Notamacropus eugenii: one gene and its partner. The protein of the gene in region 1 binds, or shares a complex with, the protein of each later gene. Links are inferred from orthologs where the notes say so. Each region holds a gene or a part of one and is shown in the gene's direction. Other genes may lie near its edges.

Region 1 (3,747 bases):
TTCCTGTGCTATCATGATCCCTATTTTACAGATAATGAAAAGAAGACAAACATGTTAAGTGACTTGTCCAAGGTTACATAGCTATTAAATAAGTGTTTTAGGCAAGTCTATCCTAACTCTAGGCTCAGGGCTCTATCACTTGCACCACCTATCTACTTAGGTGGTTCAGAAGACAGTAAACAGGATGCTTATCTTTTTTGACTCTATGACATATGAGGGCTATTGAAAGTACTGGACACATTTAGCCTGGAGATGTAGAAGACTGGGGGTGGGAATGGGGGAATATGATAGCTGTCTTCAAATACTTAAAGGATTTTTATCTGGAGCGGAGATTACACTAGTTTGGTTTGGTCCTAGAGATCAAAACCAAGAGCAATATGTGGAATTTGTAAATAACTAAATTTAGGTTTGCTATCAGGAAAAATGCCCTTTCTTAAGTCTTTTTACATTTCTTTGGCAACAGTATGTCATTTGAGTCATTCATATGCTATCTGTTGCCCTTGTCACATGCTACTTCTTTTCCAATTATGTATATATTCAGTGAATCCCCTTACATCACTTTTAATACACCAATCATCTTTGAAAATATTTGTGCCTTTCTTTTATTGACCTTTCGGTCACAGGCAAGATTTTAGTCTTTAGGGACTGTGAAAATTCAATATTTGCAAACATAAAACGGTCAATCTGTTCTGGAGTAAATTCGTTGTAAAAAAGATCTCGAATAATTCTCTTTTGTACTGCGAATTCATACTGAAAACAATCTTGAGGAGTTGATATCCAAACAGACAATTTTATTTCTAGGCGTCAAACTTTGTGCTGTTACAAATGGTATTGCTACAAACATTTTGCTGAAACCACGTTTTCATGATGTTTTCCCCCTAATTCTGTGAGCTCCAGAGGATGCCTTTCGCCTTATTTTTTTCCATCTCCAGTGCTTAGCACAACCAGTGCTGGCACATACTAGGCGCTTAATAAATGTTTATTGATTGACTCTTCAGAGAGTTGTGCACCCAGTGCTTTAAAGATAGCTAGTGGCACATACGTATGAAGTGTTCCATTTGATTTCGGTCCCTAAATACTTCCTAAGACCAAGTAGGAAATGCACGGGAATTTCATTTCCTTTGGACTGGCTACAGATATTGCCTTGGGCGATCTGACAAAAATATACCTACAATGCTGTTTATCCGAAAAGATAAAAGATTATTCTGTTTACACGCAAGGTTTCAGAAATGTTCTTAGCGCTCTTGGCATAGATCACCGCAGGGAGCAGGGATACAAGGTATCTTTGGCACAAGTAGACCACAGTAACATTTTCTCGCCGGCGCGGAGCCCGTCCCCCTCACGTCGTTACATGATTGGCTGAGAACGACTCTACCCCAGCCGCGGCCTTGCTATTGGCTCACGCACCGAGGTAGGACGGTTACCGTGGAGACCTAGGCTATGGCCACTGAGAGAAGCCAAATCTGGTAAGCGTTGGTGAGTCGTGCAGCCCAGGCCTCCGCCCCGGGCTCCCTAAGCCCAGGCCTGCAGCGAGGAGCGCGGCCTTCGCCATGGCCCTCTACGATCTGTACTCTCACCCTCTGGAGATCATCTACCGCGCAGGGCTGTGCTCCAAGGCCGCCTTGTTTCTGCTGCTGGCCTCCAGCCTCACCTACATCCCCCCGCTGCTCGTGGCCTTCCGGAGTCACGGTGAGCCCGGCCCAGCCCGAAGGGGCCCTGCCCCTTCCCCCCCCCCAGGCCTTCCAGACGCCCCCATGTCGTGCGCCCCCAGCCCCTAGACCCAGGCCGTCCAGACGCCCCCATGTCGTTCCCCGCCCCCCCAGCCCCTAGACCCAGGCCTTCCAGATGGCCCCCCTCACATTGTGTCCCTTAAACTCCCCAGATCCAAGTCATCCAGACACCCCCCTTCAGTGTGCCTCCCAAACCCCACCCAGACCCCGGCCATCCAGAAGCCCCCACCCCAGACCGAGGCAGACGTCTGCCAACACATTGTGGCCCTCCCAACCTCACCTACACTGCCCTCTGTACTTTGCCATCAAGGCAATATTATGGTGTCCCCAGAACCTGGCGTACACCCCTTGGCCTCATTCTCCTAGTGTGTCACATCTCCCCTCATCTTGTGTGTGCTCTCATCTCCCTTTCAGCTTCTTTGGCCCCTAGATCGACTTGTTGGTGTTCAACACGGCCTGGGCACAGAGCTTCATTCTCCATGCCTTGCTTCTGACTTGTATATTCTGTCTAGGTTTTTGGTTGAAGCGCAGCAGTTATGAGGAGCAGCCGACTGTTCGGTACCAACATGAGGTGCTGTTTGTGGCTTTGTTAAGCTCTAATTCTGGAGAGTATCTAGCCTGGAGCACATTCCCCAATTTTAACCAGTTTCAAGGGGATAATCTTCGGCTGCCAGTGGTATGGGTAGGTGGCTCCTATACTCCTAAAGCAGAATTTGCTATTGACAGTTTGTTTTGACATATTGATCATTTCCCAATAAATAACCTCCCATAATACTTCCCTGTAAAAAAACATCAAATAAGCTAAACCATCTTAATATCATGATTGTCATAGACAAAAAAAAAATTGTGATTTTTCCACTCTTGTAGTTTATCATTTCTTAACAGAAAGGAAGAGTATTTCAGCTCTGCCCTCCCCACAGAAGTCCATGGATTTGACCTGAATTCTTTTGCTTTTTAGGGTGGACTTCATTCAATCAGTATATTCAGGTCTATATTGTTCCTTTGGTCTTGCTTTTTTCTCTGTACATGAGATTACACAAGTCTTTCCACCTGTCTTTGAGTTCTTCATATTTATCCTTTGTGATAGTGAGATGGGATTTTATTACAATCATAACAGCAGTTAAAAAGGTCCACAGAAGTCATCCATTTCAATCATCTTATTTCACAGATGAGGAAAGTGGCTTCCAGAAAGGTTCATTATTTACTGACAGTCACACAGTGAAAAAGTGGCATCGCCAGGATCCAAACTCGGGTCTTCTGATTCCAAATTTTGCATTCTCCCCACCGTACCATGCGCTTCTTCTTCCATTCATACGCTGTTCTGTTGAGGCATTTCTAGTCATTGGGGGTGTAGCTTGTTTCTAATTTCTTTCTGTTACAAATTCTTGCTGTAACAACTATGACTATTTTGGTGCAAATGGGGAACGTTATTTCTGTCGTTGACCTCTGTGGATATAAGCCCAGTGGTGGAATTTCTAGCTCAGAGGGTATGAATGGTTTAGTAAATTTTGTCGCATATTCCCAAATTATATTCTAGAATGGTTGGATCAGTTCGTAGCTCCACTATAGCTCTACCAACATTTGCTTTTTCCATCTTTTACCATATTTTTCCCAATTTGATGAGTGGGAAGTGATACATACCTTAGAGTTATTTTAATTTATAGTTTGCAATTGCAAATAAGACAAAAAAAAGAAACTAAAATTATTAACATTAAAAACAAAGAGTTCAAGATATTATTTGCTATTTAGGCTATTTAGAAAATCCAAATGTTCCTACCAAAAATTAATAGTGACAATAAATGAGTTGAGGAAGGTCTTAGAAAACAAGATGAGTTCACTAAAATCATTTGCAGTCTTATTTGCTAGCAATAGAGATCAAAGAACCCCATCTACCATAATAATAAATGGCACCAAATATTTGAAAATCATTCTGCCTAGAAATATGCATGGCCTATATATAGACAACTATAAAATTATAATGACTAAAATAAAGAAAGATCTAAATAATTAAAGGGAT
Region 2 (3,747 bases), about 71 Mb from region 1:
TTTAAAAGGGGTTTCAGCAGAGTACTAAAGCGTTCATTACACCGAAACGTTTTAGAGTAGCGTTACAATTCACCCTATCTAGGCTGATACAGTATCATGATAGGCAATATTTCCAATACATAGAAAAATCTGACAGCGGCCTCCAAAGAGTGACAATAAAATTTTGGCCACGAGTAAGTCCTGTTCCACCTCAGCACGCGGAGCAAGCCTAACCCTTGCTGTTCCCACCGGAACACCGACAGCCTTGGGAGGACAGCCGGCCTGGGTTCTGATCCGGCGGGCTCCCTGAGCCTTCGGGGGGCGCACGCGGAAGCGGGCCCCCTCCTCGGGCCCGCAGGGGCAGCGGGTGTCAGCGCTGGGACGCGGCCGGGCTGTCCGCATGACCGCCACCCCCAGGGCCCGGAGCGGGCCGGGCGCACGTACGAGCCGGACTGCAGCCCTCCCGCCTCCCTCCCCAATGCCAGGACTCGGGTTCTAGCGCTGGGTTCACGCCGGTGTTACAGAGCCCCGCCCAGGGTGCCAGGCCTCTCCTGGAGGATCCCCGGGCTCTGGCTCGGCCCTGGGGGTATTTTCCAAGGCCTGACATCCGGGTCTTTCCGAGGCTGTGACGGGGTGCGGGGCCCCCGCCGGACTGAACAGGGGATATTTAGTGAGGGAGAGAAACTGGCTTCGGCCCGGGCCTCTTAGGGCCTGCATGTGGGGCAGGGGATCACGTCTCCGGACCTCAGTTTCCCTATCTGTAAAACAAAGACGTAGGTCTAGGCCGCCTCTCAGGTACAGCTAACGCTGGGCACACAGACCTCCTCCATTGGGCCTCCGCGGGAGGGTGGTCCCCAAGCGCGCAGGCGCCCGGGCCCAGCCTGTGGCCCCGCCCCGCCAGGGTTGCCATAGGAACCGCCGCCTGTTGGGGTGGGGGAAGGGAGGCCGGGCTCCAAGGGGAGCTGAGGCTTCGGTGGGTTTCGGGACCCGTGGAGAGAAGCCATGGAGCTGCCCTTTCCGGTCCGGCAGCGGCTGATGAACTTTAGCCGAACCGTGTTTACCGACACAAACCGAACCAATCCAGAATCCAGCCTCAACTTCTGTGAGTGGCAAGGGCCTTAGGAGAAGGGGCTGAGGGCGTGCGCGGGCAGAAGGGGGCGGGAAATGACGTTGGGGTCGTGCCCACACTGAACATGGCGGCTCGGTCTTCAGCGGGCTCTGACGGGGCGGGGGAGGAGGGGGTCCTTCCCTCCAGAACCCTTCCCCGATCTCCGATGACGGGGTTTGGGACTGACTGAGGCCCCCTTACTGGGACAGGAGTGAATCGATCTGGCAAGTCATCGATTAATTAATGGTGCCCGATGGCAGCTGTAACGCCTCTGGGCCTGAAGGGGGGAGGGCGAAGAGGGCTAAGTTCAAGTTCAAGTTCAAGCTGAGCGCCCGGCGCGCTCTGCTGTCTCGCTACCTCTTTTCTGAGACTAGAAATGACCAACTAGTTGCGTGAACACAAATCCCCAGAGGAAGCTCCCTAAATAATAAATATTTAATAAATATTAAATCATAGGTATGAGCCCCAAAAAAGAGAAAAGAAAGGAAAAAAATCGAACATCTCAAAAAGCTGTGCTTTTCTGAAAAAAAAAATGTGTTTCTGGTGGCTCTCCTTATTTTCACGCAAATCTTGGGGTGCCTGGTGTGGGGGAGGGGAGGAGCGCAGAGGTCAAGTTCCCAAGGGGGCCTCGAGCCCGGAGGTCCGGAGTCTTGAGGTCTCCTCTGGCCTCAGCTTCCTTCTTGGCAAAGGTGCTGCAGGGCTCTGCCATTTCCTTCTCCAGGTCATTTGACAGTGGGGAAACTGAGGCACACAGAGTTCAGTGCCTTGCCCAAGGTCACTGTTGCTGAGGCAGAATTCGAACTCATGACTCTCTCTGGGTGCCTGGCACCTCCCTTCCAACCCTGAAACTGGTGTTTTCAGCATCATCTCAGCTCTATTTAAGACCTTAGGATGCTTTATTTTAACTAGAAAGCAACACTTTGTACCGTTTTCTGCTTTCTGTTCCTGAAGAAATCAATATTTGATTTTTTTAACTCTATACTCAATTTTTATCATTAGAGATTTTTAGCCCCATGTATATCCATCCTAGCAACTACCATGCAGGTCCTAGAAAGGATTAGACAGGCTGGTTGATTTATCTCTCAATAGGTTTAACATCTTAAGGCAATTAATGTCATTAATATATGAATTTTTTTCAAGGACTGAAGTTTGAAAAATATTTTTATTGTTAAGAATAGAAATGTAGTTGCTTATTTTAATATGTTGTTGACAATTATTTAAAAAGTTCCCCTGTGGAAATCCACTGTGGTGTAGAGGACATGGAGCCAGACTTAGAATCAGGAAGACCTGGGTCCAAGTCCTACCTTTGACAAATACTTGCTTTGTGACCTGAGGAAAGTCACCATCCTAAACCAGGGGTGGGGAACCTGCAGCCTTGAGGCCACGTGTGGCTCTCTAGGTCCTCAAGTGTGACCCTTTGACTGAATCTACACGTCATAGAAGAAATCCACTTAATAAAAGAATTTGTTCTGTAAAAAACTTGGACTCCGTCAAAGGCCACACCGAAGGCCACACCTGGAAGACCACGAGTGGCCTTGAGACTTCAGGTTCCCCAACCTTGTCCTAAACTCTCAGTGCCCCAGGAAACTCTGTAAACATTACCCTGAAGTTCAGGTGCTGACCTAGCATTGGAAGAGGAAATTTCCTCACAGGGGGTTCCTTATACCACTAGAATGATGAATAAAATCTTCTGTCCTGCAAACCCCACCCTCAAATCCATAGAGATATAGTAGAGGGGTAATATTTTATTTAAAAATTTTTAAACCTTTGGAATGTTAAACAACTAAAGAATATGGATTATTTCAAAATATATACTTTTTGCATATGAAATTTGGCCTCATTATTTTGGAACTTGGCTAACTTTGTACTTGAATTCATAGGATCTGTGTTGCCTCCTTTAGGACTTTCTGTTTACACAAATGAAAAACATACTGCATCATAATCTCTAGTGACTAGTAATTTCTTGGCAGAGCAAACTTATGATTGGTATGGTCCTTACAACACTATGGCAGTCATGGCAATTGTGTTATGGAGATATTGAATCCAATGATGTGTACATTTCTCCTCCCCAAAAGCTGCAATAAAATTAATCATAATTATCTGTTATACTTTGAGGCCACATATTGCCTGCATGAACAGGGAAAGACCCAACAGACAGTAATTACAAAGTGATGATATACTATACTATTATTCGCTTCCTAATCACCAAAAATAGCCAGTCTCTAGAATTGAACCCAGTGTTTTTTATATAGCTGACGCTTAATATATATTTATTTAATTAATATTAAGGCCACTATTCCTTCTTCTGGTAGTGGTTCTAAATTAGCACAAAATTTGAATTAAAAAATATCATAGCTCCAGTTCTTCTAATAATGTGGATTTTGAGGAGCAGAAAGGACATCTCTGAAATAGTATGGTTAAGGGTTGGGTTTTTTGTTTGTTTTTTGCTCCTTTTTCCTTCCTTTCTCCTGCAGATAATGAAATAGTCTCCAGTTTGGCATTACAGATGTCTCTTTATTTCAACATTTACTTCTTTCCATTTTGGTGGGTGTGTAGTATCATCATGCTCCATCTGAAGGTGAGTATAAAATCTGATTGCTTACAGGCGCCTAACTTTCTCATACATTTCTCTTATATTATTGCACTGTCAACAAGACAAA

What was found. Proteins that work in one complex are often made in the same cells at the same time.
Region 2: TMEM231 (region 1) and TMEM17 share a complex: the UniProt entries of both Homo sapiens proteins name them as parts of the tectonic-like complex. The link is inferred for Notamacropus eugenii from reciprocal best matches to the Homo sapiens genes TMEM231 and TMEM17.

The regions. Positions count from the first base shown.
Region 1 is NC_092872.1:712,651,560-712,655,306, forward strand, and holds the start of TMEM231 (transmembrane protein 231), read left to right. Parts: upstream 1-1,384; 5' UTR 1,385-1,550; coding exon 1,551-1,689; intron 1,690-2,242; coding exon 2,243-2,412; intron 2,413-3,747. UniProt on the Homo sapiens protein: Transmembrane component of the tectonic-like complex, a complex localized at the transition zone of primary cilia and acting as a barrier that prevents diffusion of transmembrane proteins between the cilia and plasma membranes.
Region 2 is NC_092872.1:642,117,906-642,121,652, forward strand, and holds the start of TMEM17 (transmembrane protein 17), read left to right. Parts: upstream 1-880; 5' UTR 881-981; coding exon 982-1,081; intron 1,082-3,561; coding exon 3,562-3,665; intron 3,666-3,747. UniProt on the Homo sapiens protein: Transmembrane component of the tectonic-like complex, a complex localized at the transition zone of primary cilia and acting as a barrier that prevents diffusion of transmembrane proteins between the cilia and plasma membranes.